2 linked regions of the Canis lupus familiaris genome follow. The protein of the gene in region 1 interacts with the protein of each later gene in a pairwise test. Links are inferred from orthologs where the notes say so. Each region holds a gene or a part of one and is shown on either strand. Other genes may lie near its edges. The genes, in order: DCP1A and RITA1.

The links.
Region 2: the proteins of DCP1A (region 1) and RITA1 interact in binary tests that used the Homo sapiens proteins (3 or more experiments, as listed by UniProt). The two-hybrid records come from large-scale screens. The link is inferred for Canis lupus familiaris from reciprocal best matches to the Homo sapiens genes DCP1A and RITA1.

Annotation. Positions count from the first base shown.
Region 1 is NC_049241.1:36,887,222-36,891,663, forward strand, and holds the start of DCP1A (mRNA-decapping enzyme 1A), read left to right. Parts: upstream 1-1,337; 5' UTR 1,338-1,424; coding exon 1,425-1,559; intron 1,560-4,442. UniProt on the Homo sapiens protein: Necessary for the degradation of mRNAs, both in normal mRNA turnover and in nonsense-mediated mRNA decay. Removes the 7-methyl guanine cap structure from mRNA molecules, yielding a 5'-phosphorylated mRNA fragment and 7m-GDP.
Region 2 is NC_049247.1:10,896,782-10,901,088, forward strand, and holds the start of RITA1 (RBPJ-interacting and tubulin-associated protein 1), read left to right. Parts: upstream 1-1,278; 5' UTR 1,279-1,354; coding exon of another isoform or gene 1,355-1,528; exon of another isoform or gene 1,529-1,563; intron 1,564-1,737; exon of another isoform or gene 1,738-1,915; intron 1,916-2,090; exon of another isoform or gene 2,091-2,113; 5' UTR 2,114-2,234; intron 2,235-2,618; 5' UTR 2,619-2,673; coding exon 2,674-2,984; intron 2,985-4,307. Other genes in the region: ATP-dependent RNA helicase DDX54, read right to left, coding at 1,355-1,528. UniProt on the Homo sapiens protein: Tubulin-binding protein that acts as a negative regulator of Notch signaling pathway.

The sequences.
Region 1 (4,442 bases):
TAAGTCCTGGGGGGCAGCCCGGGTGGCTCAGCGGTTTAGCGCCGGCTTTAGCCCAAGGCCTGATCCTGGAGTCCCAGGATCAAGTCCCACATCGGGCTCCCTGCACGGAGCCTGCTTCTCCCTCTGCCTGTGCCTCTGCCCCTCTCTGTGTCTCTCATGAATAAATAAAAATCTTAAAAAAAAAAAAAAAAAAAGAATAAGTCCTGGGGATGTAACATACAGCCTGATGACTACAGCTAATAATAGTAATTCATATTTGAAAGCAGCTAGGAGACCCAGATCTTGAAGATTCTTACCACGAAAAAAAATTCTTGTAACCATGCATGGTGATAGATGTTCGCTGGGCTGTGGCTGTCATCATTTGCAATGTATGCAAATATCAAGTCACTATACTGTCCACCTGAAACTAATAGTGTTATATGACAACTACACCTTAATAAAATCATTATTTTTAAAAGAAGAAAAGTAAAAAAATAAATAAATAAAAGAAGAAAAGTCTACTTTAAAAAAAAATTTTTTTAGTTTCAGGTGTGTCTGAATTTTGTATTACCTATGCAAAAAATGCATAATCTTTTTAAACTAGGGTACAGATTTTTAAATATTGGATTGAAAGTAGCTGGAGGGGAGTTGAGACTCATTCTCAAGGATGAAGGAAGGTAGCCATGGTACAGAGGAAAGGACTCTGGGGGGAAGGAAGGAGTCTCTGGATTCCCCTACCAGATTACCCTGGCTAGTGTGCAACTCTGAGCTAGGGATGTCTCCACCCAGCACTTGCTTTAGAGAGGAAGACAAACCATGAAAGATGCCTGGCTCTGGGAAACAAACCAAGGGTTGTAGAAAGGGAAGGGGGAGGGGATTGGGGTGACTGGGTGACAGGCACTAAGGAGGGCACTTGATGGGGTGAGCACTGGGTGTTATATGTTGGCAAACTGAATTTAAATAAAATATTAAAAGAAAAAAAACCCCACCAAATTGTTGACGGCTGTGATGTAGTGAGATGGACGATCTGGGGTGACTTTTGGGGTCCTGCCTCTCCCCCTCCCTCCCTTCTCCATGCTGTCCCCACGATGGTGGAGCCCACACACAGCCAGAGCTGGAGAAAGCTCCCGGACAGCCTCCGATCCCGCTGTCAGGACATTTTACCCCAAAGGCAGGGAGAACCTGCGCCCCCTCCCCCTCGCCTGCCCTCGCCTGCCCCCAACGCCACCCCAAGAGCCTCGGGCGTCAGGAACCCCGGAACCCGGCATCCGGGGGTTGTGGACGTAGCGGAGCACAATAGCCGTCGTACCTACCGCCCCTCCGCGAGGCCCTGCGAAGAAGCGGAAGTGGAAGGTGCTGACGCAGCCGGGGGAACTTTGCTTCGATGGCACCTTCCTGTCCGCGACTCCGCCCCCCGCCGGAGGGGCTCGGCTCCGGAATTCAAGATGGAGTCGCTGAGTAGAGCTGGGCAGGAGATGAGCTTGGCGGCCCTGAAGCAGCACGACCCCTACATCACCAGCATCGCAGACCTCACGGGCCAGGTCGCTCTGTACACCTTCTGCCCCAAGGCCAACCAGTGGGTGAGTGCGGCGCGGCCTCCGAGGTCGTCCGCCCGGCCGCCGCCTCTTAAAGGGGCCGCGCGGACTCTCCGGAGTTGGGGGCGATTCGGGGAGGCGGGGGTTGGGGGGGCGGGGGACGGACCGACCGGCCGCTGGAGGGTGTCAGGGCCGCCAGGGCCTCCAGGGGCTGTGCGGAGAGGGGCGAGGGAGGCAGGCCCAGGACGTCTGGGAGGAAGAGCCGAGAGGAGGGAGGGAGGGCTGGGGTCCGGTCCGGTCCGGTCCGACCTGGGCGGGCTGCCTCCCTTGCAGACGTGCTGGAGGATGGGAACCGGGGGGTCGGAGACACACCTGAAAGGCGCTGCCTGAGGCCGTGCGGGCTCCGGGGTAAACTACCTGTGCGTGATCCGTAAAGTAAACACGCGTCCTCCCCCCCCCCCCCGCCCCCCGACGGGCACGTAAATAAGAGCCCCCTTCGCCCAGGTCATCTGGGTTTATAAAGCTTCGAATCCAATTAGTTTCCATTCTTGGAAGAGAGGTGGTGAGGGTAAGTCCGGCTTTTATCCAACTGTACTATTTACAGAGGTTTTTTTTTTTTTTTTTTTTTGGGTGGGGGGGATTTCAAGGCACTTAAGGAAAAGGGCTTCCGTGTTAATTGCATTTCTTTGAAGCCGTTGGAAAAGAGACCCTGTAAATGCGTTTTAGTTCCAGCTGTGCTGCTGGTGAGGTCGCCTCGGAATGCTCCCTTCCTACTAAGTAATTGTTGGCTTTGCTTGCCTTTTTTTTTTTTTTTTTTTTTTTGCACGGGAGGGGGTCCGAAAAGTTACATTGGGTCTGTTGTCTGACTTGTTGGGCCCCGTTTAAAAGTAACGTGATTTCCAGTTTTCGGGACGCCCGGGTGGCTCAGCGGTTGAGCATCTGCCTGCAGCCCAGGGCATGACCCTGGTGACCCAGGATCGAGTCCCCTGTCGGGCTCCCTGCATGGAGCCTGCTTCTCCCTCTGCCTCTGTCTCTCATGAATAAATAAATAAAATATTTAAAAATAATAATAATAGGGGCAGCCCGGGTGGCTCAGCGGTTTAGCGCCGCCTTCAGGTCAGGGCGTGACCCTGGTGACCCGGGATCGAGTCCCGCGTCGAGCTCCCTGCATGGAGCCTGCTTCTCCCTCTGCCTGTGTCTCTGCCTCTCTCTCTCTATGTCTCTCATGAATAAATGAACAAAATCTTTAAAAAAAAAAAAAACTATTTTAAAAAATAATAATAATAAAAATAAAAGTAACATAATTTCCAGTTTTCTAGCAATTGACCCTCCATGCTTTACTCCTTTAGGCTTTACTTTTGGCAGATGATCTGTCAACGTCTGTTGGATTGATTTCATAAACAAGTCACATTCACATTTCAGTGAAAAATGAAATACTACTAACAAAACCCTGAAAGATTATCGTAATGTGCCCTTTACGGTATAAAACAGACTCATAGGCTATATTTAAACAGTAATTGTATGAAAATCATTTGACGTTTATAAACACTTAACTCAGATGAAGAGAGCTTTCAGGATCCTCTTGCTTTTTTACCTTATCTTCTTTCTTTCCCCTCCTGGAAGAAGAGGTATGGAAAACCACAAAGAGCAAACTTACAGATTTTTATTCTTATTTTTAAGTTTTTTTGCTTTTTTTTTTTTTTTTTTTTTTTTAGTGTAGCTGTTTTAGACATTGCCTTAGTTTGAATTGTTCTGAATCATTTTTCTTTATTTGGTCTGCATATAAATTTGTGAGATGTGAATTGCAGACAAATGATGAAGACTTGGGGGCAGGAACTTATGACTAACACTCATATTTCTAGTTTTTCACAGACTTTCAGAATTGTAGAATTCTGATTGTAGAGTCCTGCTTTAAATATGAAATACAAATTATATCTATCTGGATTGAAAAAGAAGCTGTTCGTTTGGTTAATGGCCCATAGAGCATAACCAAAATCTTTTGTATTTTTATTTTACAGTGAGTTGTAACTTTGCACAGTGTTGTTTGAGCAAGTTTTCTTTCACTGTGAGACCGTAGATTGCCAATTTCTTTTTTAATAATTTAACATTTGAAAGGCAAGAAAAAGCCTGTGAATCCTTAGGAAGGAAAAGTTTTTATGATGATGTTTATGATAGGGCAATACTCTCAGCATGTTAAATATTTTTTAAATGTTTTTATCCCAACAAACCCAATTTGATATGACTAGCATTTAAAGTTTTCTAACAGTTTGTGGATTGCATTAAAATACATCACTTCTACCTAAGCTGTGAACTGCCACTAATATAGTTATTTGGGTTTTTTTAAAAACATTGTGTCTAACACCTAAATACACTTGTCACAGCGAATGAAAGATAATGAGTTGTACTTTTAATCAAGATGTTTCTTATTCTTAAAATGTTTTAGTTATACATTTTATAATAATTACCTTAAGGCAGAGTATAGCTTCAGGTTTCATGATTCTTCAACAAAGGTTTAAGAATAAAAAATTGTGTTCGACAGTATTTCTTAACAAACCACAAAATTTGCTATTCATCAAAATATACCCAAATCGTCCAATGATGAAGCAAAGTATCCTAGGATATAATGTTTTCTTTTTTTTCCTTCCCTAATAACTTTGATAAACTTTAAAAGTGAAGGAATTGCAGTATACAGAAGCTTGGCTTTAAAATTTAAAAATCGGAGGAAGACATTTTAGCTTCAGAAAGGGAAAGTGGGGTGCCTGGGTGTCTCGCTTAAGCATCCAACTCTTAGTTTAGGCTCTGGTCATGACCTCAGGATTGTGAGAGTCTGCTTGAGATTTTCTCCCTCTGCCCCTCCCCCATGTGCACATGCACACTTGCACTCTCTCAAATAATATTTAGAAGGGGGGGGGCTAATTCTAAGATTTT
Region 2 (4,307 bases), on another chromosome or scaffold:
TCCCACAGCCAGTAGATTTGGGCCACATTTGAATGCACAACTGCACCAGGGCAAAGGTCTCCGTCTGAACCATATCTGTGGGCTCTTCTTTGGCACCTACTACCTCTGCCCTCCTGTGCTGTGGCGATTTCTCCACTTTTATGGAGCACCTACTATGTGCCAAGCACTGGCTCCACTGGGTGGGTAAACATGGTACGATTCCATCTGGTCCTTGACCAGGAGGAATGTGGTTCCCTCTTTTCATCTAAACACCTACCCTTAAGACAAAGTGGGGGGGAGACACCTGGGTGGCTCAGTGATTGAGCATCTGCCTTCGGCTCAGGGCGGGGTCCTGGGATCGAGTCCCACATCGGGCTCCCCGCAGGGAGCCTGCTTCTCCCTCTGCCTGCGTCTCTGCCTCTCTGTGTCTCTCTGAATAAATAAAATCTTAAAAAAATAATAATAAACACCACTCTTTCATCCACATACCCAAACCCCACTCTGTGCCAGGCACTGCTGGGCACAGGGCTGCGGGAAATAATGGGCTTTAGCTATTTGCCCGTTGGTGCTCACGCCCCCCACCCCCACCCCGTGTGGAAGTAGCACAGGCCCTGGAACCAGAGGTCGGCATCCTGGCTCTCTCGCTCACAAGCTGCGAAGTCCTGGTCTAGGTGCTAACCCTAGGGTCCTCCTCTGGGACACAGGGATGGTGGCACTTAGCTCCCAGGACTTAGGGTCCTCCTCTGGGACACAGGGATGGTGGCACTTAGCTCCCAGGACTTAGGGTCCTCCTCTGGGACACAGGGATGGTGGCACTTAGCTCCCAGGACTTAGGGTCCTCCTCTGGGACACAGGGATGGTGGCACTTAGCTCCCAGAGCGGTATGAGGATTAAAACGAGGCTAGTTCTCAGCATGAAGCCCGGCACATGGTTAAGCGGTCAGCAAACGCGAGCTTAGTTCGCCACCAGGGACCCAGGGGATTCGAGGCGTGGCCGTCTCGAGCCGCTGCGCCCGGCCTCCGCTTAGTTGCACCCGGCAAGAATCCCCCAAACTCCTGAAGTCAGGGCTTCGGCACCCGCACTTTTCATTGGACCAAAGGGCGCTGGGCCCGCCCCCTCGGCAAGAGCCAGCCAATGAGGGGCCGCGACCCAGGGCCGGCCCGGAAGGCCCGCAGGCCCGGCGGCTGGAACGCAGGGGCTCCAGGATCGGAGCCGGGCGGGGCGGGGCGGGCGCGGAGACACGTGCTGGGGCTGGCGGCCCTGCCGGGGCCCTGCCGGGGTCCTGCCGGGGTCCTGCCGGGGCCCTGCCGCGGCCCTGCCGGGGTCCCCACCCTCAGCCCCTGGGCGATGCGCGGGGCCGGGCGCCCGCTCCCACCTTCTGGGCCCGGGTGTCATCGTCCGCTTGGATCTCAAACTCGCCGTCCTCCGAGTCGCTGCTGCGGGGCTGGGAGGCCGCGCCTCGGCGCCTCCGCAGCCCCTTCTTCTTCCTCCACTGGGCCATGGGAGCGCGGGACCGAGGTCCGGCCGCCACGCGCCCGCCGGCCGCCATGCGGGCCCCGGGGCGGGGAGCGGGGAGCGGCGAGCGCGAGCTGGGAGCTGCGAGGGGGAGGGGGGCGGGGCGAGGGGCGGGGGCGGGGCCTGCGGGACGAACCAACGGCGCGGCCGGGCGGGGGGGCGCCGCGTCTCTGCGGCCCGCCTGCGCCGCCTCGAGGCTTCCGGGAGCTCCAGGGGCGCCCCCCCCCGGTGCTCATGGTTCCGGCCGCCCCGCCCCTCGCTGGTTGTCGCTGGGGCCTGGCTGCCGCCGCGGGTCGGTCCGTGCGGCTCCCCGGGGCTGGGGCTGCGGGGCCCGGGCTGCAGATCCTCTGGGACCTTGGAGGCCCCTGCAGAGGAGGGGGCGCTGGGACTGCAGCCCACATCCTGGAGCCGAGATTCTCAGGTAAGGGAAAGAACTCACGATGCAGGGGCCTCGGACCTCAACCGGGGTCTTGACTTGGGGAGCAGGGAACATGGGGTAGTTGGAGGGGTGTCTGTGATCCACCAGGAGCGGAATGGTTACGTGCATAAGCTCTGCACCCCTCTGTCAGGTTCACATTTCTCTTCTACTGTTTTAGCCTTATTTAGGTGCGACTTACAGGTGTGACTTCAGCGTCTGAAGCCTCAGTCTGGTCATCTGTAGATTAGACATAACCGAAGCTACTTCGCAGAGCTGTTAAGAGGATTAAATGAAATAATGCTTGTAAAGCTTTTTGCGCAAGGTAGGCACGAGATAATGCTGGTTATTGTATTAACTCCATAAATGTATATACGGGATAGAAGGACCTGCCCTGTCTCCCCCATCCCACCAGGCTAAGTTTTTTCCTTGGTGCCAAAATAGACACAGGCCTCATCTCTTCTTCTCCCCCTAGCGTTCTGCATGGAGCACTGTATACTAGGAATGCACATTTATTCATTAAATATTTGCTGGTAGCACCCCTCTCCTTATCGTTGTGACAGCTGAGAGACAGATGAACCCATTTCTGCAATGTCCCCTGGGGTTGGCAGCTCCCCTTTTGTCCTTGGGTTGGGAACTTAAGAGATGGGCCACCTTCCTCTGCTGGCACTGCCAGTGACGGTGGTGTCACCCTGTCCCCCTTTCACAGGGAGCCCTGGAGGCAAGACCCCGCAGGCAAAACATGCCTGCTCTTACCCAGAACCATGTGCAGCATGAAGACCCCCGTGGAGCTGGCAGTCAGTGGGATGCAGACCCTCCGCCTTCAGCACCATTGCCAGGGCAGCTACCGGGTCAAGGCCAGGCCGTCATATGTGGATGAGACATTGTTTGGCAGCCCTGCGGGTACCCGGCCCACACCACCAGACTTCGACCCACCCTGGGTGGAGAAGGCCAACAGAACCAGTGGAGTGGGCACAGGGGCATCACAGGCCTCAGGGGCCAATGGCAGCTGTGAGACCACCTCCTCCAGGGGCAACACCCCGACCCTCACACTAAGGAAGAAGAACAAATACAGGTAACAGGATGGGAAGATACACCCCTGTACTCCTGAGGCCACCTGGGTTCCTATTAGAGCCCTGCTGTTTACATGCTGTGTGACCTTGGACTCTCAGCACCTTGACTTCTCTGCAGTTTCCTTATGTGGAAAATGGGACCTAGTGGGACTACTGAGCGTAAATGAAGTGAGTGTGTACAGGGCTTGGCACAGTAATCTGACACCTAGGAAGTTCTCAGTAAGTGATAGTGAGGATGATTGAATACCCATTTCCCAAATGCCACAAGACCAGACAAGTGAGGTCCAGAGGGGTCTAGTGATTTGTCCAAGATCACAGAGAAATTTGCATAAGAATATTAAGGTGCTTGATCCACGAAATGACATAGATGCAGTGGGTGGGTCGCAGTTTCAGTAAGTCATTTCAAAAATGGTTTTTGTGGCCTTTTCATGAACAAGCTAGGCTAATAGTTATGATTGTAAATTAATCAGATTATTTGGATAATTTCAGGTTGATACCAGCCTGGAGGGAGGTGTGTAGTGGGGGGCCACGGGGCTCTATCTTGTTTATTGTTATCAGTGATTTGAACAAAAACACAAAAGACTGGAATATTCATTTACAGCTATCATAACAAAATACAGTAGCTGGGGAGCTTAAATGACAGAAATCCATTATCTCATAGTTCTGGAGCCTAAAAGTCCAAGTTTAAGGTCCTGGCAGGCTGAAGCCTCTCTTTGGCTTACAGACAGCCACCTTCTTGCCTGTTCTCACATGGCCTTTTCTCTGTGAGCATGTATATTCCTGGTGTCTCCCCTCTTCTTATAAGGACTCGATTCTTCTTGGTATAGAGCCTACCTTTATGACCTCCTTTAAGCCTAATTATCTCTCTAAAATTCAGGGTGAATTTTGGGAGGACATAGTTCAATCCATAACAACTAGCCAATCATATTTAGGGTCCATTCTGAGCCAGGAGGAACATAGGTTGGTGGAGAGAAGTGAAAATGGGAATGCTGCCTATCTTAGGAGATAAAATTCAATGAGGTAAAAGCAAGACTCCAGTATTAGGTCAGGTTGAGCACCATGCATCTGACATAGAGCCAGGTTAACATTAGCACCGCTGACAACTATAGTGTAGCTGAAAAGGCTGATGTAAGTGTGGGGTGTACTAACAGAGGTATGGTGTCCAGGACAAGGGACGTCAACTCCATGTTCTCCTGGAGGGTAGAATTTCATGCAGGATGCTGACAAGTAGAGGGTGTCAAATGAGAAGATGCGTAAGAGAGAGAGATGCTCTTAAGTAAAGCCTTTGGCTCCAGGCAGACATAGGCAACAAGCAGATACGGTTT